Caenorhabditis elegans: one gene and its partner. The protein of the gene in region 1 interacts with the protein of each later gene in a pairwise test. Each region holds a gene or a part of one and is shown in the gene's direction. Other genes may lie near its edges.

Evidence for each region.
Region 2: the proteins of mtm-6 (region 1) and kcnl-2 interact in a two-hybrid assay, tested with the Caenorhabditis elegans proteins (one study listed by BioGRID).

The regions. Positions count from the first base shown.
Region 1 is NC_003281.10:13,347,354-13,360,017, forward strand, and holds mtm-6 (phosphatidylinositol-3,5-bisphosphate 3-phosphatase), read left to right. Parts: upstream 1-4,039; 5' UTR 4,040-4,056; coding exon 4,057-4,404; intron 4,405-4,714; coding exon 4,715-4,918; intron 4,919-4,975; coding exon 4,976-5,051; intron 5,052-5,262; coding exon 5,263-6,209; intron 6,210-6,739; coding exon 6,740-6,829; intron 6,830-7,087; coding exon 7,088-7,171; intron 7,172-7,459; coding exon 7,460-7,984; intron 7,985-8,032; coding exon 8,033-8,107; 3' UTR 8,108-8,331; downstream 8,332-12,664. Other genes in the region: F53A2.9 (F-box associated domain-containing protein), read right to left, coding at 9,470-9,716, 9,766-9,911, 9,960-10,100, 10,651-10,848, 10,895-11,282, 11,767-11,924. UniProt on the Caenorhabditis elegans protein: Probable lipid phosphatase that specifically dephosphorylates the D-3 position of phosphatidylinositol 3-phosphate and phosphatidylinositol 3,5-bisphosphate, generating phosphatidylinositol and phosphatidylinositol 5-phosphate.
Region 2 is NC_003279.8:8,171,161-8,181,635, forward strand, and holds the start of kcnl-2 (Calmodulin-binding domain-containing protein), read left to right. Parts: upstream 1-3,727; coding exon 3,728-3,895; intron 3,896-5,009; exon of another isoform or gene 5,010-5,024; intron 5,025-5,216; coding exon 5,217-5,302; intron 5,303-5,458; coding exon 5,459-5,546; intron 5,547-5,593; coding exon 5,594-5,708; intron 5,709-8,745; exon of another isoform or gene 8,746-8,858; intron 8,859-9,837; coding exon of another isoform or gene 9,838-9,871; intron 9,872-10,157; exon of another isoform or gene 10,158-10,176; coding exon of another isoform or gene 10,177-10,475. Other genes in the region: srz-3 (Serpentine Receptor, class Z), read right to left, coding at 10,177-10,475.

The DNA.
Region 1 (12,664 bases):
TGAAATCGAATTTTTATTCAATTTTCTGGAAGATTTAAATGATTTTTTATTACTTAAGCATGAGAATTCTGGCCATCTCGTACGCCCATGGGTCTCGCCACGCGGACAACGAGTTACTGTATTTTTTATAAGACGGAATCACTTAAAACTGTCAATTTTTTGAATTTTTCCCGTTTTTTCTACATGTTTTCATAGAATGTGCGTACTTATCAAAATAGATATAGGAAAATTCATATGATGCGTTTAATTTTGCCATTTGAAATTGGCATTCCAAAAAATAAGTGCCAAACCACAATTTGCCGGTTTGCCGGAAATTTTAAATTCCGCCAAATTGCCGATTTGCCGGAAAAAATCGTTTGCCGCCCACTCCTGATCTACAGTAACTCGCAGAACGCGTGGCGAGACCCCACGCGCAGAATATATGGTCAATTTGATTATAAATATTTGGGTTTTCTGTGCTTTTTTTGCTTTTTTTTCGAGTTGTCCGTCGAGATTTATTCAATTTCCTCCGTGTTTTTTTGGCTCCCCGCTTCTCCCAAAAAAGTGTTCCACCAGATCCATCTGTTTCGTCGAATAATGTAATGAGGTTGACATGCGACGAGATTCAAGAGATTGCCCCTCAACCAACCGACCGGGGCAACTCCAGGCACCAACTCTTTTTTCTCTATTCTTCTACTAGTTTTGGTCGGTCCCTCATTTCCTCTTCCTGACGACAACTTCTCCCGATCTCCCTCTCTCTCTGGCTCTCTCTGGAGCCACTACTACCACTCGTTTCTCTGCGCGCGTCATTTTGTAGTGTCTGTGGTGGTCTTGTCGTTTATTTTAAGATTTTCCACTTTTGTTTGTTTGTGATGAAAGTTTCGCAAACTTGATGTGAATCAAAATCTGCTGAATTTCGAAATTTTCAAAATATTATCCGTTCGCAAAAATTTTCACACTAGGCGACTATTGTATTACTGAGATCGTGGCGAGACCCACTCGGACAAACATCGTGTGCCTTTAAACTGGAGTGTCAAAATTTTACGAAGTTACAATTTTTTCAAAATTGATTGGCTCTGAAGTTTTCATATTCAATTAATTTTGCAAAAATTTTTGCGCTAAAAATACGGTAACCGGTCTCGACACGACAATTGTTGTTAAATGTGAAAAGGTGTGCACCTTTAAAGAGTACTGTAGTTTCAAACTTTCGTTGTGTCGGAATTTTCCTAGTTTTTCTACTGTTTTTTTTTTGCAAATTCATGTTTGATTTTAGTTTTAAATAAACATAAATTTGAATACTGTTAGAAATTAATTAAAACTCAGAAAAGGTCGAAATTACAGTACTCCTTAAAGGCACACATCCTTTTTTGAGACTGGGAAAATGGAAACTTGTTGATTCTTCTGAAAAATAATATAAAAAAATCGGAAAAACTTGATGTCAAAGGATATTTTACAACTCTAAAATTAAAAATTTTTTAAATTTTTTAAAAATTAAAAAAATTTTTAAATCGAAAAAGCTTCATCCTTGTTGAAAAAAGCCAGTAATTCGACTTTTCTCAGAATTCATAATTCCTTTGACTGATAAATTGCGAAGAATATTAGATTGGCTACTAAGAAAGTTGTCTATAGAATAAATGATTATGAGAATAACTTCTGATGCAAGATCAAATATATTCCAGCTCACGCATGAATCAAATCTGTAGTAAACCCGCAAATCCGTAGTATTTATCCCTTTCTAATTGACTTTTCTCGTCGGCTGTCTACTTTCTAGCTCCTAAAGCCAATAACAAGCTTACCCGTCTGTCGTCCATCAACATTCAGTCATCTGTCAACGCATCCCAGGGCTTCTCCCTTTTTATCTCTAATTTAGGTTCTTCTCGGTTTTCGCTCCAAATTCATCGTTTCCTTTGTTTTCGCCCCGTATCTGCGTGGTGCCTCCTCGATGTTTTTCATTCAATCTATCTTTATTTTGTGCCTAGCTCTTTCTATCTCTCTATAAATAAACAAGGATCCTTTTGCGTTTCAAATATATGTAAAAATTCCAATTCGCGCGCTCCTTCTCTTTCTGCTTCACTGAATTTCAATGGACCATTTTCCCGAAGACACACACACAATCTTTTCGGCGAAAAAAAAAATGAGCAAGAAACACGGAGAAGGAAGAGCTGATTAAACCGAAAAAAAAACGACGACGACGAGATGACGGAGACGCTTCTCTTTTTCACCCGGTTTTGCTCATTTTTGCTCATTTTTTCTTTTACAATTAGACGATGTATAGATTTAGGATATTTTTCAGGTTTTCTTTCCTATTACGGAAGAATTCTGACAATGCGTATGGCGCACCATATTTTACGCGCAAAATATCTCGTAGCGAAAACTACAGTAATTCTTTGAATGACTACTGTATTTACGTGTTGATTTACGAGCTCAAATTTTGGAAAGGATTTTTCGTGAAAATAAATTTTTTCGAGCCCGTAAATCGACACAAGCGCTACAGTAGTCTATTAACAAATTACTGCAGTTTTCGCTAGGAGATATTTTGCGCGTCAAATATGTTCCTCAATACGCATTCTCAGAAATTAGTGTTTCCGTAATAAATTCTACAAGAATACTCATCGTGGAAACGCGCTCCACTGTCAATTAAAAATGCCCCGCCCCCAATAGTTGGGTCTCGTTAGGTATCAGGTATTTTCCGGAAAAAACCGGAAATTCAAACTGTGTCAATCATTTTCTCTAATTTTCAAGCATTTTTTCGTTATCTCTCATGTTTTTTATGTCGAGATTATTAAGGAAAAGCATTGTTTTGACATAAGAACCTTTTTAAAAACCACAAAACCTAACGAGACCCATCTCGCGGGGGCGGAGCGTATTCAATTCTCCGTGGAGCGCGGTTTTTTCTATGAAAAAAAAACGCAAACAACGTTTAAAATTCTCTCTTCCTCAAACCAGAAGAGAAGTTTTTTTTTAGTTTCAAATGGAAAAAAAACCAGCCGCATTTTTAATTTATCCGTCAAGCTTCTCTCTCCTCTTCAATCCAGCTCTCTCATTTCCATGACCTCATTTTGCTCGGTTTCACTCAACAAAAAAGTTCGGTCCCAAGGGATCTTTTTTCCTCGTTTCAAAAAAAAGTTCTCATCTCTGTTGTTTTTGTTTCCGTTTTCCCTTTCCGGTTGCTTCCTCCAATTTCAATGTCGTCCGTCCTCTTCTTCGAGACAAAGTACTTTTCTCCTTTTTTTTTCTGCTCCTTAGTTTTTTTTAAGGAAAAAAAAACGAGAAAATATGTGCGTAGAGACCTTTCACACTTACTTCAAGGGACTCCCTCTCTCGCTTTTCACACCCTTTTCCCGCTGCAAAAAAGCTTACGGAAAAGGAAAAATGGATTGGGTTACGGAGACGTTGACAGACGACGGCTTTACGATTTTATGCTTCCCCTTTCCGTTTTTTTTTTCGAATGCTGGAAATTTCTGAATTTTCGATTTCGTTTGTTGTCAATTTTGCAATTTTGCAATTGTTGCACCAACAATAAGTCTCGACACGAAATTTTTTTTGTCAAATGCAAAATGGTGTGTGCCTTTAAAGAATACTGTAATTTCAAAGTTTGCGGAATTTCCATTTTAATTTTTTGAAATTAAATTATTACATTTTCATCGGAAAGCTATGAAAAATATTTTGCATAATATATGGAATTACAGTAATCTTCAAAAGCGCACACCTTTTCGCCTCTGACAAAAAGTTGTCGTGTCGAGACCGGATACCGTATTACAATTTAGTATCACTTTTCTGATCAAATTATCCTTTTTATTGAATCCTTTTCACTGAATATCTATTCAATTTCCGAGGAGAAAAATGAGAAAAATGACGTGGCGCTGTATCCGTTTCCTTCTTCTCTTCATTTTTTCTTCTCCTCGCAACACTTCTCAAATTGATGACGTTGTTTTTTTTTACATTGAGCGTGTCATCGTTCTAGATAGTTAGTAGTTTGAAATGCAAAGAATTCGATCTCGTTCGTTATTCCTCCGTTCCACTCCGAAAGTCTCCAAAAATTCCCCAACAACTCTTCCAGCACCTAAATGCCAAAAAATGTCGTCAACACCTTCATCGGTGACGACACCACTGTCGGCATGGTGGAATAATATGTCGCTGTCGGGTATCTACCCATCAATCTCCACCTCAACTCCATCTTCCTCATCCTCGTGGAGCTCGCATTTCGTATTTGGCGGACATCATCATCATACGAACAACAACACGGCGAACACTCCGCAATCTACAGTACCCCCGTCGGCGCTGTCGTCGGGTTATACTGAAGATATTACGGTGGCCGGATCACTGTTGAAGGATAAAATTAATGGATTAGTTGATTCTCTGATGGGAAGAGAGTCGGTTCATTCCGGGTGTGGTTACGGGGAAGATGGACGAATTGCCATGATGGTAAGAAGCTTGAAAAGGGGTGTATATTATGGAGACACAGAAACGCGCTCCGCCTTCGAGTGATGGGTCTCGTTAGGTTTTCGCCTATTTTCGAGTATTTTTCATTTTTTTTGTTAGGTTTTTCGAAATGATGTTTAATAATATACATGTGAATTTGAGAAGCGAATATGGGTTTTTTCTCAATTTCGACATGGAAATTATTAAAAAATAATAGAAAACTTGACAAAAAGAACGAAGAATACTTGAAAGCTAGCCCTATAATAGATTATACGAAATTTACAGTTTTTTCTAACGAATTCCCATATTCCAGGTGGATAAAGTATGCCTTGTCGATCGCCTAGGGTGTCAGGAGAATCTAGTCGGCACAGTCCATGTCACAACTACACACATCATCTTCCGAGCTGAAAATGGATCAAAAGAGTTATGGCTGGCGACTGGGCTCATTTCTTCAGTGGAAAAAGGGACGCTAACAGCTGCCGGATGTATGCTAGTGATTAGATGTAAACATTTTCAGGTTTGTAGATAATTTATTGTGATTTGAGTGAATAATTAATTAAGCTTAATGTTTCAGGTGATAACACTTCTGATCAGTAGAGATAAATCGTGTCAAGACCTATACGAGACGCTTCAACGTGCCGCAAAACCTGGTAAGTGATTGAAGTGACATGTTAGCGTGAAGTGAAATATATTATAAAAGATGTATGAAATGTCGTGAAACATCGTTAGTTGATTTGCCGAGTTTTTGGTTTTTGTCAGCTTCTAAGTTTGAGTTATTACCTCATTCTGTCTCAATTCACTTTAAATATTAAAAACATAGGAAAATACTGTGCTTCATTCACTAATGTCGACTGATTTCAGTTTCAGTGAACGTGACGGAACTGCTTGCGTTTGAGAATCGAGAACCCGTAGAAGACGTTCGGGGATGGAGAAGATTGGATTGGAATTCAGAAATGACACGGCAAGGGATCACAAAGTCACAATGGACAGAATCGAATATCAATGAAGGATACACGATCTGCGACACTTACCCCAATAAGCTGTGGTTTCCGACAGCGGCCTCCACATCAGTTCTACTAGGATCCTGCAAATTCCGAAGCCGTGGCCGTCTTCCAGTACTGACCTACTTCCATCAACAAACTGAAGCCGCTTTGTGTAGATGTGCACAGCCTCTGACGGGATTCTCGGCACGATGCGTAGAGGATGAGAAGCTTATGGAGTTGGTAGGAAAAGCGAATACAAACTCGGACAACTTGTTCCTGGTAGATACTCGGCCGCGAGTCAACGCGATGGTGAATAAGGTTCAGGGAAAAGGATTCGAAGATGAGAGGAACTATTCAAATATGCGATTTCACTTTTTCGACATCGAGAATATTCATGTGATGCGGGCATCTCAGGCACGTCTCCTCGACGCGGTGACCAAGTGTCGTGACGTCACAGAATACTGGAAAACGCTTGAGGCTTCTGGATGGTTGAAGCACGTGCGGAGTGTTGTCGAATGCTCACTTTTTTTGGCTGAATCCATCAGTCGAGGTACATCATGTGTCGTTCATTGTTCGGATGGATGGGATCGGACTTCGCAAGTTGTCGCACTTTGTCAACTTCTTCTTGACCCATACTACCGTACTATTCACGGATTTCAAGTTCTCATCGAGAAGGATTGGCTCGGTTTTGGACATAAATTCGATGATCGGTGTGGACATGTGGGGGCGTTGAATGATGAAGCCGGAAAAGAAGTTTCACCGATTTTCACTCAATGGTTGGATTGTATTTGGCAAATTATGCAACAAAAACCACGAGCCTTCCAGGTAAAATCACTGATGTTATTTCGAAATTTTTCTGGATGTTCCAGAAGTTCTCGAATTTTAGAAAAAATGTTTTCATAAAATTTAGTTATGAAATTCCCGTCAAAATTCTTTTTAATTAAAACTACAGTACCCCTACAGTACCCCGTGCCCTATACAGTACTACTACAATAATACCCCTTGAAAAAACAAAAACTGTTTTTTTTTCAAAAACTACAGTAATCCTACAGTACCCCATACAGTACTACTACACTCTTAAAAAGCTGAAGCTCATTTTTTCCAAAAATACAATAATCCTACAGTACCCCTACAATTTTCCTATAGTACCCACTACAGTACAATATCCCTTGAAAAAAACAGAAACTCATTTTTTTCCAAAAAAACAATAATCCTACAGTACCCCTACAATATTCTTACTAGTGCCTCCTACAGTACTACTACAGTAATATCCCTTGAAAAAACAAGATCTGATATTTTCAAAAAATACAGTAATCCTACAGTACTCCCAACTTGATCTCAACTTCAATTTTCAGTTCAACGAACGATATCTGATTGAGATGCACGAGCACGTCTATTCATGTCAATTTGGAACATTTATTGGAAATTGTGATAAAGATAGAAGGGTAAGAGTTTTCTAGATTGTTTTTCATCAAAACTCATTGAAAAAAAAATTAAATTTCGCGCCAAAATGGAAAAAGTTAAAATTTCTCCATTTTTTTTTGAAAAAAAATTGAATTTCGCACCAAGATGTTTTAAAAAATTTGAATTTCGCGCTTTTTTTTGAAAAATTAAATTTAAATCTCGCTCCAAAATGCGTTTAAAAAATTAACTTTTGAAGAACCGTTACTCTTAGATATTTATAAATAATTCAATTTTTTCAGGATCTAAATCTGTCAAAACGCACGAAATCTCTGTGGACTTGGATGGATGCGCGTCATGACGACTATATGAATCCATTTTATTCGGTAATTTTTAAATCTTCTGAAAATTAAATTCTGAAAATGCGTATTGCACAACATGTTTGACGCGCAAAATATCTCAAACTACAGTAATTCTTTAAATGACTACTGTAGTGCTTGTGCCGATTTACGGGCAATTCCAAAATCGATCCCGTAAATTGACACAAGCGCTATAGTAGTCATTTAAAGAATTACTGTAGTTTGAGATATTTTGCGCGTCAAATATGTTGTCCAATACGCATTATAATACTAACAATTCCAAAAAATCAATCATCTAAATTAAAATGTTTCCAGCCTACCGCACACGTTGCTCTACTGGATCTTGACACTCGTGCAGCTCGCTTCACAGTTTGGACTGCAATGTATAATCGATTCGACAATGGTCTACAACCAAGAGAACGGCTTGAAGACCTAACTATGGCTGCGATGGAGCACGTTGGAGTACTAGAATCCCACGTGGCACAGTTGAGAACGAGACTAGCCGAACTGAAGACACAACAAAATCAACAGATAACTTCAACGAATACACCGACGAATATGGTTGATAGTGGAATGAGCAGTGCAACTGATGATTTGAAGAATCTCAGTTTAAGCCATCCTTTGGATCCATTGAGCTCTACACTACCGATTCTGGAAAGAGCAACAAGTCAAGAAAGTGGAGTCATGGATTCATCGTTATACTATCCTGATGAGGCTCTGACCAAATATTCACTAAAATGGCAACCTCTTCGTGGAGCCGATAGATGCTCAAATCCAGCGTGCCGAGGGGAGTTCTCATCGACGATTGAGAGAAGAATTCATTGTCATTTGTGTGGAATGGTAGGAATAATGTGGAGAAAAAAAGTTATTTTATTAATTTTTTTTCAGATTTTCTGCCGCCGCTGCCTCAAAGTGTCTGCAGACGAACGTGAACGAGTATGTGACAAGTGCAAAACTGATTGATTTATTGATTTTCTTTTCATTCTTTCAATTTTTTAATTTATTTCCCTACTTACCAATTTTTCCTCTTTTTAATTTTTACCTTGTATCAAATTTTATATATTTCCCCATGCCCACCGAAATGCTTGTGATCACTTTTTGTATATTTTGCACGGGTTTTAACACTTTTGAGCCACTTGAGATTATATGCATAATTTATTTCAGAAAAAATAAACTCTTTGAAATTATATGTTAACTAATTAACTAGTTAAAAGACAATAAATAAATAATTATGGAGTTTTCACAAGAAACAATACCAATTAAAGTGTTAAAACCGTTAGCTGGAAATGATAATACAAAGGAAACGTATTACGGGATCACGAAATTCTGAGAATGCGTATTGCACATCATATCTGACGCGCAATATATCTCGTAGCGAAAACTACAGTAATTCTTTAAATGACTACTGTAGCGCTTGTGTCGATTTACGGGCTGGACCTTCTTTAATTGTGACATCGATATTTAATTTTCCTCCAATTTTTTAAAAATATTCAAGCATTACATGACAAAAATAATACGCGAAATCGGACTACAGTAGTCATTTGAAGAATTGTTGTAGTTTTCGCTACGAGATATTTTGCGCGTCAGATATGAAGCACAATACGCATTCTCAGAATTTAGCCTTTCCGAATATGATTATAAATGAGATAAAGCAATATTTGGGGGGATAAGCTCGTGAAAAGTGAACAAAAGTAATAATATTGAGATGCACTGTGACAATAAAATGACGGGATTCGGATGTTTCAAGAATTTAATTTTTTTTTAAAATTATTATGCAATTTTGCCCGTAGAGAGTCAGAATTTAGAGCGCCAGCGCCTCAATTTTGAAGTGAATAAAATGAGTGAAATTTAATTGAGACCTGCTCGCAAAAAATTTAAAATGTAAAAAAAAACTTTTCCAGTCAAGAAAATAACGAAATTAGTTTAGAAAGTGGAGAAATTCAAATATTATATCAAAATGAAATTTCGCTTCACGGCCAAATAAAACGCTCCGCCTATCTATTATGGGTCTCGTTAGATATTGGCGAGAAAACAGGAAATTTAGATGATTCCCGTTATTATTTATTTTTCTGGCATTTTCGAGGATTTTTTCATTCCTTAAAATTATTTGAAATCACATTGAGTTCAGAAAAAATTACACAAATGTTTGAATTGGCTGGGTTTGCAGCCAAATACCTAACGAGACCCAATTTTGGGGACGGAGTATTTTTTATTTGGCCGTGGAGCACGCTTGCACTTTGATTTCAAAATTGCGAATTTTTCTGCGTTCTTATAATACTGAAAAACGCGCTTGCCAAATTTAATTTCTTTTGTTCTTCTTTTTTTTTAATTAAAAAGTCGAATCAATCTCTTACGAAATAACTCCATATAAATTCGATTTTTCTGTCTTTCGTATTCATCAAAGGTGTTTTGGCTGATTGGAGGATTGACGAGTATGTGTTGAATATCTTCGGTCTTCGGAATTTCAAAGATGAATTGATTTCCAAAATGAGCACAGAATCCGGGGCGTGGTCCAGTTATTTGAAAAATTTGCGCAGGTTTTGGAAATTCCTTTTGTTTTTCCAGGATACGCCTGAGAATAATTTTCAGATAAGAAGACCTTTTTTAAGAAGCTAACTCACAATTTGACATCAGTCTTCAAATCAACTATCTGATACCGTAATCCAGAAAGTGCATCCATCATATGCATTTGTTGGGATGGCCATTGAGTTGTTTCCATTAGATGAAGATATTGAAAATCTTCAATGATCTCTCCACGACACCAGCGCTGAAATTAGGAAAGGTATAAGTATTAGCTTGTGTTAGAATTTCTCACTTTTAAAAAAGAATTTACAGCTTCTGATGGTACCTGCCTTGCCACAATATTGATCATAGGTGAGTTCACAAAATTCAACGTTTTTCTTGTGAAATGAGTGCTCACTCTGTTGAATGTCAAATTCACTTTTCCGGTCGTCATCTGAAAATTAGTTAATTTGAAATTAAATTGGTTAAAATGGACTGTCACTTGTATAATTTCTCGAAATTGCCTAAATTTACCAAATTTAGAAAAGCAAAAATGAACAAATTTGATTAAGGTGCCAAAATGACCAAATATCATAATACAATTTTATAAAAAAGTTTGAAAATTTTTGAAAAAAATTTCAAAAAGTGGCAATTACTGAGTTTTTGCCACTTTTTGCTACTCGAATCCCTGCAATGTTTGAGTATGAATATTTGAAACATAAGTAGACTATGAAATTGGAATTTTTTTTTGATGGAAGACTTTTAGAAAGTGGAAAAACTGAGACTTTTCCAATTAAAAAGAATCATATAAAATTTTCAATTTTTTTTTGAATTTTTTTACTACGACATCTGGTCTTTGTGGTGCCATATGCATGCTTTAAATTTTAATTTTTTTTGAAACTTAAACTTGATCGGGATCAGGGCTGTCTTTTTTTTGTTGGTTTTTTTGTTTTTTTTTTTCAGACTAAAAATACAAAACAATTTTTTTTAATGTTGTGGCTTACCAAAGAATGATGGAAAATCTGATCCAACTTTCCCACGTCAAGAAATTCCACGTCAATGATCTTCTTTTTGTCATCTAATGGATCAATCGCATTTGGAACCAAATTGTCCAACCAATTATTTATAAACCGAATGTTATTTGCACCATGAATAATTAATTTTTTAAGTTTCAGCGGGGGAATTTCACCGGTATAGTTGCTCTGGAAGATTAGAATTGTTTTATTTCTTCAACTGTAAAGTTCGTACCTGTTGAATAGAATTCTCTTTTCCTGGAATCAAATTCTCCACTTTAATCCGAAGCGTGTCGATTTGGAAGTTTCGTAGCCAATACTCAATATATCTCGATGTTCTTTCAACAAACGTGGCACTTAATCGAAGTTTTTCCGGTTGAAAAATGCCTGATGTGATGTTTTTCTGTCGATCAATTGACCATCCTCCGGTTATCCAATTCGGTGATTTTTTCTTGCTCATGAAAATAGAATGGAATGAGTGTTCCGGAGAAAATTGCGCTGTGATTTCGGCAAATTGATCATGATTCCATGTTGTTGTGAAATGGAGGCATAGTTGTTGTAAATGAGGTTTATCACTTCGAGATATTGATAAAAGGATTTTACATGATTTTTCCAGGTTTGATCTGAAAAATTTTCAATTTAACACAGTACATCGTGAACTTAAAATTTGCAAAAAGTCAACATATTTCCAGTGCTTCCAGCGCCAAAACCACTCCCGGGTAATTTTCAGATGACCTGTGGTAGAAAACATTGGGGTAGAAAACACAGGAAATGAATTAAAATTGTTTTTCAAAAGCTAGATTAGTAAAATCATACACTGTAAACCGCTTGGTAAAGTTTTGAACAAATCTTCACAAAATAAATTGTTACCGAGAAATTTTCAAAAAGTTTAAAATTTTCAGATTTTTTATAGAAAACGTTGTATTTCCTGAAAACGTCTTAAATAATTCTTATGATCATAATACCAAATAAAAAACAGTCCGAACCAAAGTTTAAGCCGATCATTTTTTATTTTTTGAGAGTTTTTTTTCGAGCTCAATGTACTCCTCTACTGCAAAATTTTAGTTTCATAAGTTTCATGAAAATTGTTTAAAAAAATAAACTAACCTCGTTTTCCTATCCAACGTATTCATTAAAACCAATAACGATTTTGCATCCATATCCAAAAAATGAATACCATTTGGCCTATCAATACTATTCAACCATTCCATAACTCTTTGATGCTGAGTCATGTATGTCAGCCTTCCATCCGGTGGTTGAGCCATTTGACATTGAGATTTGTTTTTAAACGATTTTTTGATTTTTATTTTATTTTCCAGATGATGAAATTACCAAGCGTTTTCTGAAAAAAAAAGTACTTGCTTGGAAACGATGTAGAAAAATTTTTTTAAAAACGAAAAACTGAAAACATCTGTTGGTGTGATTGATTTAGAATCGACTAGGACATTTCGAAAAAATTTTCGTTTAATTTCGAAAATTCGGATTCTTTTTTCTGCGTTGGAAAAGTGCATTGGGTTCTCAAACAATCGTTCTTATTAATATCTGATTTAATTTTTCATGAAGACTTTTGTATCAGTGTAGAAACTTTCACATAAAAAACTGTTTGAGTTCTACAAATTTTAATTGAGGTTTCAGAAAGGAGAACCTTTAAAGGTCGAGGAAAAATATGAAGCAAAACTTTGAATTTTGAAAAAAAAAATTGACAAAAATAATCCTTGGCCTATTATTAATTTAGGTAAAATTTTGAACATAAGACAATTGTCTTTGTTCAAAATAATTTGGTACAATTCACATTTTTTTGTATAATTTTTTTAATTATGATTGGTTATTTGAGATAATCAAATGAGTTTCCAATAACCATTCAAAATCTCATAGGCAATGATAAAAAAAATGGTTAGAAAGAGCAATAAACCGGTGATGAGTGGACGCAATTCCCTTTGTGTGTGTTCCGTACCTCCCTGTTCGTGGTGACTAATTTCTCGGCCACGGCCGTCGGTTCTTTTTT
Region 2 (10,475 bases), on another chromosome or scaffold:
TTTAGACCAAAATAGATAAATCTACGGAAGATTTAGAATTCTCGAATCTGAGCTTTCACGTATCGTTTCAGTCACTTGCTGAATATATTATGGTACTTATGTAGTAGTTGTACCCCAAAATTTTTGCAATGGATGACATTTTTTAAACAAAACTTACATAGAAAATACAATTCGACTTGAAACCAACTAAAAATATAATATTAGAGTGCACGGAACTTTAGAGTTACCGCGAGAAAATTGTTGCAATTTTCAGGACGTATCAAAGTATTTCCAGTGCTTGTTGTTTCACTATTTGAAATTTTTCAGGCAACTACTTTTTTGATCGTTTTCTTATTAGTTGTGCTTCAAAATATTTTTCATTTTGAATAGAAAAGCTATAAGCAAAAAGGTCTACAAACGTTTGATATTGGGACCCATTTCATTTTTCTTTCAAGGTTACACAATTCCACATCAATTCTGATTTTTAAGAAATGTTCATTTTATTTGGCCACTGATTATTTTCTCTTCCACCTTCCAGTTTCCTCATGTTTCAAAGGCCTCTATTTCCATGTTTCCAATTATTTCCCGATTTTCATTTGGTTTTCAATTATTTTTCTCCAACGCCCCCATGGCTCTCAGGTAATCAGTGTTTCTTGTGGTAAAGAGGAAAGCATGAAAACAAAATATCCCGTGATTCATTTTTCTTATCTCTTTTTTCTAGGGCTTCTGTCTACAATTCGCCCTTTTTTGTGAAATTCACCTGATGAAAATGCTCCTCTTATTCCGATAAAGCAACGATCTCTTTTAAAATCTGAAAAGTTATCAAGACTTAAAAAATTAATTTGTGTTGAAGAAAATTGCTTGATAATATTTTTATATCTGTTTATGAAAAATTCAGTTAGTTTCATACTTTTTTTTGAATAAGAGCAGTTTGATGATCTATTAATTTTTTTTGATTTTTATAAAGTCGTCAAAAATAATTGAAACCCGTTTTTCGCACAATGGTCTTGAAGTGGTAATATACACAGTTAAAATGCGATGTGCGCATAGTGGGTGTAAGGCCATAATGCGCGCATCGCGTGTGGCGACCACCCATTATGGGCTCATCGCGAACGGTTCGCGATGGGCCCATAATAAGTATATGATGCTTCCACTCGCGAAACAAGAAATTCGAAATATATATTGTTTTTTCCGCCTATTTTTTACCATTTTATTGCATTTTTAATTGAATTTTTATTTTTTTCACTGGTTTTTTCGTGAATATTTGTTTTATATGTGGTATTTTGTAATAGTCATAATATTTTTTCTAAATTGTGGGTCTTATAGAGAAAACACTGCTCTAAGCAGTTGAAGCATTTAAAAACATTATTTAAACAACATGACAAGCAGTATTTCAGTCCTAATAAATGGAAGCATAGTCTGGATTACTGTAGTTTCACATATATTTAGTCGTTAAAATTGTAATCTGAGTTTTTATCGGTATTTGCGCATACTCAGAAGATTTTGTAAAATATCTTGTCTGTTCCTGTATTTTCAAGAGCGAAATATCACCAAAATCAGATTGTTCCGTTGAATCTGGAAATGCCCACTGTTCTTCATGCCTACTTATCATGTCTACTCGTGTCTATTTCTCATCTGCGTTATAATTCACCTTTTAAATAATATTGTAGAAACAATTTTTTTGCAGCTTCTCTTCGAGCAGCAGACTTCACAAAAATTCCATCAACAGGAAAAACGTGAAAATCTTCAACATCGGAATGTCTAAGCGAAGAAACAGAGTGTTCAGACCTGTCTTGGTAAAATGTATCCTAACAAAAAAAAAGCTCAATTTTATTATTTTCCAGAAAACATTGTTGTCGAACAAAGTAATGATGATGAATATGAAGAAATGATGAGGTAGATGACGATACTTCAGATGGAGTAGTGCCGGAGAACATCAGCGAGGAAAATTTCGAAGAGAACTTGGATATCAATGGGGACGAGATGGATGTCGGAACGGAAAACGAAGGTATTTATTAATTTAAGAAAATGTATACGAAAATGTATAGAAAATGTATAGAAAATGTATAGAAAATGAAAACGTATAATTATATACGTCAAAGTTACCCGCGTTCAAAAAACTACAAAAACCTCACATTTTACTGGAATACCTAGAATAAATTGGTTAACCTTGAATAATCTAAAACATTTTTGTAGATGTCGACTCGAATTCGTGGAACAAGAGGAGGACGAGATGATTCGAACTGAAGGACCATCCAAGGCCTCCGAACTTCCGATTCGTGAGCAGAGCAAGAGAAAGGAGGCTGTTAGTGATGCCGATGAGTCCAAGCAAGATGAAGACGATTTTTAAGTAATTGTGTTGTTTAAGATTTCAATTTGTTAATACTAATGTTATCTTTTTGTCGTTCTCCCACTTAAGTCATGTTTATAAATGTGTTTTTGTTTAGAAAATTGTCTTAAATGCTCAGGATTTGCGGGGTTTTCTAGTTTAATTATCAAAAAACCCCACAGTGCGCCCATAATTTATGTTCGCGATGCTCTCAAAATGCATCTCAAGTTCGCGATGGACGCACAATGCGCGCGGAATGGGCATAATTTCCGGTTCCTTTTTCTCACACGCGCGATCCACGCCGAAAACACTATGCGCACATCGCATTTTAACTGTGATATGTAGCTCAAACTCTGTTTTTTTCTCCAGAGTTTGCTAGAGGAATTCAAACATTTTTTGTAAGAAATTCTTAACTGTTCTCAGCAAAGAAAAACAATGACTATGTGTACTAAATCCTATTATTTTGTGTCAGTCAGTATTAAATGTGTGTCTGTGTGTATGTGTGTGGTCTCATAGTGCCACCAAAACCGCCATCGTTATAAACGGAGCCAACATATTCGGAGAAACGTGTGTGTGTTCCTTCTGTCTCCCCATGCTTCTATAGTGTCTAACTAATTATGCTTCACAGAGACAACGAGAGGAGGCAAAAAAAATGTGAAAAAAGTTGAGTTGTGAGACATAGTCTGACTCTTTTTTTTTCAATTATTTTAGTCCATTGTGCTATTTGAGACTTTTTATATGACGAGTAGGTTACAGGAAATAATTTTCACAAATACACTAGATATATGTGGAAATACTTCTAAACCTTTGAATTACTGATTTACAATTGTTTGAGCAAGACAATTACAAAATTGACGTTATTCAGAATAGATTTATTAGCTATTACAAAAACAAAAATGTAGAAGTAGAGGAGCATTGTGAACTTGAAAAAAATATTTTTTATATTGCTTTAGACAATGTTTCAGTCTAGTGAAAAATTCTGTGAAAAGTTTGAGATATACCTTTTCTAGTTCACATAAATCCTCCTCTGCTAAAATTTTTGTAGCAAGCTATTCTAAAGATCCTTTTTCAAATGATATAGGCATCATTCGAAAGTCAAAATTTGAGCTGAAATACCCTTGTTAGAAGCCCCAAATGGAAAATTTTCAACTTTTCTGGAAGTGTTGCAGTTTTTTTTAATTTAAAAAGTTTTAAAGCACTATTTACAGATTTCTTGTCAAATGTTTCATAAAGTTCTCATTTTTTCATCATCTTGTCAAATTTCCGGTTTAACCAATCTTTGACTACTTTATTCCATTCTACTTTTAAACAGGAAATTACATTTCATCACACTTGTTTTTATCCAATTTCAACACATTTTTCAAACTATGAACTTTAAGAATATCGTCTATTTAATTAGAAAAATTCCAGAATTCAAAAATGAAATTGGAAGAAGCTGTAAATGCAGCTCAGATTCAGAGGAATGAATCAGTGACGTCATCAAGTGCTGGTGATGTAAACGAAATTCCAAAAACGAATGGAGGTCCAGGACATCCAATTGTTAGAAGAAAAAGTGGAATGATGGGGAAGAAGTTTCCATCGCTACAAGTAAGTTTTTCGCAAGATGTTTAAAAATCTGAAAACTCTAGACATCCAAACACTAAAATTGGAATTCTAGAACTGGATTTTTTAGACTTAATAATTAGTCTGTGAAATGTTGCTTGCTAAAAACGTTCTTTTAAAAAACTAGCAAATGAACCCGTTAATTTGGGAACGGCAACAATATTAAACTCAAATTTATGTAAACACTTTTTCTTTTGAAATTCATCAGAGCATATCTGAATATATGTTCTAGATGCTTGTATTCCTTTTTATATTCAAAAATGGAACACATAAATTTTTGTTATTTTTCTTTCTACTATCTATAAATCAATAATAAGAGTTCTAATTTTGATTTTTCAATTTGCGAAATTGACATTTTTATAATGAAAATTTATGAGTCTAGCTAGGTAATTTTGCATTTGGAACATGCGATCATAGCTCACAATTATAATAGCATTTGGGGTTTTGTATGAACTTTTGAAATTAGATAGGGCGCTTGTATGACCATTGTCGAAAAAACACATTATTAAAGTTTCTGTTTCTTTCAAAAGTTATGGGATTTCGAAAATACCAGCAAATTAAAAAATGGGATAATAGTCTTAACTGCAAAAAGTTACGGCAATCAGTTCAACTATGTATTAGATTTTTGAATTTCCCACTCGTTTTTGTAGATATATAAAAAATGCGTATTTTCCTGTTAAACATATACATGTATACATTAAAATTGGTGTTAAAAGATTATTTTCGTAACGACAAAATTTTCATGAATTGCAAACACAATTTTTGATTTTGACAAATTGGAGTCAAAAGAATTGTCTAAACTTACAACCAAGCATGGTATCATTTAAAATTCAGTATTTTCATTGGGTCACTGTCTGGAAAATTTATCATTCGCCTAGAGTTTCATGTGTATCCATCCTGTTGAAGGAACTGTAAGCAAACTCAACAAGACGAATCACTGTAAAGCCAATGAAAACAATGATAGTCTTACATCTGAAATCTAAAAAATATCCAAAAATAATAAGTAAGTATCCCACACATACTCTCCGCTCATAGATCTATCCGTTTCTTTTTCATTTGCTTTATTTTTCACTAATTGGACCTTTGGTCTTTCTTCATCTCCTGCTCTTTTTCCTTAGCTCCTTCCAATCAGTTCGAGACCTCCATCCAGACATTTCTGGTTTTATTTTTATGTGTATACATAATTAATTAGGTGGAAGGTTTGGAATGAATTCAAAGTTGTTTTTTGTGCATTTTAATGTTGAGAAATAGAGAAAACTGTATAAACATAATTTAAGAAATACTTGAAATTTTATAAATTTTTTAGGTATCCCATTATCCTGTCCTTCTTCTTTCAAATTCCTCGGCTGACAATTCAACAAATCCCCACCCAAGTGTCACTTGGAAAACTAGGTAAGTCGAAAATTGCACATAAAAGTATGATAGAATTCTAAAATATTCAGAATTGTATTACTCCTGTACGATTTTTTGAAAAACATCTAGATACTACTTCTCATTTTAAAACCTTAAAACAATAATTAAAGTGAAGTACTTTTTGAATTTTTTTAGCCAACAAACCGACACGGAGCCAACAAGACCCGAAATACTCGAGGAATCGCTACCAAAAGTGAGAAAATCTAGCAGTGGACTGAAACAGGTCAGTGCTTTTGATGAGGTAGTATTTCATAAATTTAGATATTGCAGTCATCGGTGTCCGCCAGGAATTCTCTTGATTTCCGGGAACGTCCACGATTTGTTCGAACATCCACTACGACCTCAACATTGTCTCCAACTTCCGAAAAACCGCCGATGCCCTTGGGTAAGTATTTTGCTAGAAATTTGATTATTTTTGCAAAAATACTATTAATTATGAAAAAATTCGATGAGAAACGAATATTTAAATTTTAAAAGAATACTGTCATTTTTTTTGGTGAAGATTTATTCTAGAGATCATATTTTGAATGACATTGATTTTTTTGAAGTCCAAAGCTAAATGTACTTCTCTTGTTAGAAAACTATCTAATACGAAATCAATATCATATATCTTGCAGTTTCCAACACAAAAATCAAAAGTATCGATAGTTTCATTTTCTCTTTTTTTTAATCATTGATATTTTAGTTATCATATTGTGTCAAAAAATTCAAAAAATGATGTGGGAGCACACATCTTTTTGTTGAGTATCCATGTGTTGGTGCGTGTCAAAAATATGATGAGCGTAGAGTTTGATGTGGGTTGAGTTCGTTGACTAGATGAAATGATTGACAACGAAACACGTGAGAAAAAGTGGACTTTTTGAGTGAGAAGACAATCAGGTGAATATAGAAACAAATACACAATAGTGTATTTTTGGAATGGGAAAATAGAAAATTTAACGAATAATATAATAGAAAAATAAAGAAATAGAAACGCTTTGCTAGTCTAGGAGTAGAAAAAGGGTCAATATTCATAACTCTTGCCAGTTTTGGAATAACTTTTTCAGGCGGCCTCTGTTCGATCTTGTTCTATGGTTTTGATTTCTTGTTCATTGATTTTTTTTGGCAAATCAAGTTGTTTTCATTATCAACATCATCATCGTAAGATGATAGGTTGACAACTATCATCTTACAAACTTATAAGGATCCCAAAACTTACAGTTATAATTTCACTTTAAAACTCAAAGTTTTCAACTTCCCGAGCATAAAAAACATTTTAAATTTTCTGGTTTTCCAGGTATTAAATGAGAAAAATATAAAAACTTGAGTTCTGTGGAATGTTTTGGCCGGAAAGAAGTTCATGTGATTTCGAGAAATGTTCGTATGATGCGATTGATAAAACATAGGAAACATGCAATTTCCGTTCAATTTTCAACAAAAAATTTACCAGTTTTTATAGGATTTGATGTAAAAGCTTCGTTTTATTACTTCTGAATGAAACTTTCAACATAAAACTTCTGGAGCAGTATACACCTATAGCTGGTCGATCTGAACTTTTTATAATTTAGAAAGAGCATTTTCAAATCTAATATGATGCTTCGTGATCCTAAGAATAACTAAATATTTTTTAAATATTTTTTTCGAAACAGCCCAATTTTTTGTTGATCAAATAAAAAACCTTCTAGAGCACTTGTATCGAAAGTAATGAACACTCTATTGAAAAAAAAAATTAGATTCCGACTTTTTTGAACTATGATGGATATCGTGTTGAACTATAATGGATACCTACATTTTCAATTTTTGAAAACGTGGGCATTATCTCTTTTTCTCATGTCATTTATTATCAATTGATAAAGATATTTTTCCATTAGGTTTTTCGTTCTTCAATCACTGGGATCTCTGTCCCTCAACCTATGTCCCAATAGATGATAAATTGAGAATCACTGATGAATCTACTCTTTTTCTCTCAATCTCCTCAATTTTTCTTTTCTTCACTTATTTTGGAGCATAAGAATGTCTAGAATACAAATGAAAAGTTAACATTTTGGAGCATAGGACAGAGAAATCATGAGATATTTTGGGTTTATATTTGTCTGGCACTAGATTTTCACCAACTTTACTTTCTTACCTGTTCTCAGTTTTTATATATTCAAGAATTTACCGTTATTTTGTGTGTTTATGGTAAATTTTCGAAAATTTAATTTTTTATTTCTAAAATTTTCTCTGAAATAGTACTTTTCCCTTATAATCAACAAAAAACTATAAAAATGAGAAAACAAAAATGATGTTTGCCTAAAAATAAATCGGATTCAGTCAGTCTCCTCTTTTCGTTGTTTCTCTTTTTGTCTCAGAATGTCCTAATAAACTCAATTTTATCTCTTGATCCCTAGGACGACAAATACTTTTTCTTCGTCTTTTCCTTATGTTTTTGTCTTCATTTTCATTCTTTTTCAGTCTAGAAGTTCTAAGTTCCAGAATAAAAATGACACAGAACCCCACATATTGTTTAAAATCTTTTTTTTTTATTTTTTCAAGCATTTTGTTAACCCTTTGAAAAAAAATGTTGAGTTGATATATTTTAAATTTTTCAATATCTATAAAAAAACAAAACACATTGGCATAATGCCAAAAACATTTTTTTTGCGTTCTAGTTTCCTGATTCTCTGTATTTATTTTCTTTTTGTCTGCTAGAAAATGTAAAGTGTCACAAAAACTTGTGAGATTTTAGGGAACAAAAAAAAACGTTTTCACATATTTTTAATTGGAAAATTTAGTTGCATTTTCAAAGATCATCAATTCAAAACATTAGAAGTAGATTCTAACTTTAAAAAAAAATTAAAAACTGTCAAATTCCATTCCTAACATTCTAAAAAATATAGTAGGCTTTTGAAAAAAAGAGTGAATACATTGTTTAAATTGCAAAAAAAATCAAGATGATGTTGAAATTTTCGTTTTTAAGATTAAAAAAAAAAGAATTATATCTAACACTTAAGAAAACAGTTGAAGTCAGCATGTCTACAAACAGAACACATATTAAAAATTTGAATTTTTGCGTAAAGTGATTTTCAGTCCCTTTTTGCTTTGTTTTTATTTTTCAAGTGCAAATCTTTGAAGAAAATTTTTTTTTGAACATTTATAGAGATTCAAACATTCGACATTGTTCTTAATTGAAACTTTTTGTCGCTACTTCATTTTTAAAATTATTTTGTGTTCACGATACTTCTGCTTTCATGAAAAATCCTACAACTTCCTTATTCCATCACATGTTCAAATTTTTGCTACTTTTCTTCAATCTCCAATCAAATTTTCTTCTTCAAACGTTAAAAATGTCTTTATTCTATTCCATTCTTTGTCCTTTTTCACTGCCTTCAAGCGTCTTTGTTTCCCATGTCTCAATCCACTCGAATCTCATTTTCTGAAACTTCACATATTCAGTCTTTTTTGGCGTCTGAACTCGTTCAATCCGTCAAAATTGTGCAATTACTTCAAGTTCCGCAATCGCGGAACCATCGTGCTAATAGCATTGACTTTGTTGATCTGCGAAATCTTAGAAAAGGTAAGTAATGTTGTCATTTATTGGTAATTTCTTTTTGAAATTTACGGTTTGAATTGCTGAACTCAAAAGAGTAAAACTTAATTGTGAAAAAGCGTTTCTTTGTTGAAAAAAAATTTTCTTACTGTCAAAACTTTGCAGTTACTCAGTTGTCGCCTAATACTTTTGGAAATTGACAAAAACATTTTTACGGAATTTTTTAAATATTGTTTCAGGTTTTTACACTGTAGGACTTAGAATTTGCCAAAACTTGTATTGAAAGTTTTGAATAATTTAAAAAAGTGTTTTATTTAGATCTATTTAAAAAATATTCTCTAAAAATCCTCACTTGCCTTTAAAGATCTTAGCAAACCAATCCCTTGATAAACTCCAGAAGGGGAAAGAAAAGTGTTCATTCTATAATCATGGCGCTATGTTGGACTATTGTTTTGGCTTCCCAGATTACTTTAAAATAGTCCAAAATAGCAGGAAATAGAAAGGACCAAAAGTTAAGAGTGGATGAAAATGTATGTGAAAGGCCGTTAAAGGTCTTGTTTTGAATAAAAACAGATGTTCTTCTTTTTTCATCAATTATGAATGTTTTGCACTACACCTTCAGATTATTTTAGTTGTTTTCTCTCTCAATAGTTCTGTGATGAATTATTTTCTAAAATTTCACAGTAGTTATAATTTGTGTGATTTAAAATTGACTTTGTATTTAGTGCTTGATAGAATTAAGGAAAATCATTTCGTAATATGTTGCCTTGACTTTCAGACTCGAAAATCTAATCTATAGGAAGCCTTACGGTGCAATATTCCCACTCTATTGTCGTGTGATATAACGACGGGAATTGCTAATCAAAAACGAAAATTTTCTCGTTTCTATTTTGACACAAGCATCTTCCGTTGATTTGCGGCAACATTGTCTATGACTTTTATTGAATTTTCCCACTCAAACTTTTTTCTAAACGTTTTTTTTTAGTTTTGAGCCAAACATCTTCGCATGTCTATGCAGATCTACGTCACAAATAGTTCAGGTGAATATTTAAAAAAGAAAAGTAGCAAAAGCCAATTTGCTTCTTTCTTTGAAACTTCTCAAACTTGGCACTCAACACCTACAAAAACGCTGAAAAAACTGAAAAATACTGTTTAGGGGTTGGTTCATTTTTTGAGATTTTTTCCAAGCTCTCATAAGTAATTTGCAAAACATTTCAATTTTATAATTGCTGATATTGTCACAAAAGTAAGTGTTCCTTTGACTATAAATCAGATGGACTGTTTAAAAACAAAAACATTTCGAGTTTATTTCGACAGTTAATCAAAAAAAGTCTTCCAAATTTCATTAAACATCGTTATTCTTGTTTTGTTTCATTTCAATAATTGCAACTTTATTCAATTTTTTTCTTCGCCTTCTAGGTTTTGCAACACAAAATATAACTTTCCATGTTCTCAACTTTTTGAATTTAATCGATAATATGACATCAATGTTTGAACGGTTACAAAGCAAATATGATCCCTGGATTACTGCAGGAGTTACTGTTAAATCAGTGAACAGTAATATTATGAAAATCTTCTGTCCTGCACAATCTCCATAAATGAGACAGGATAACGAAATTAATGTGACAGCAAGAGATTTAGAAA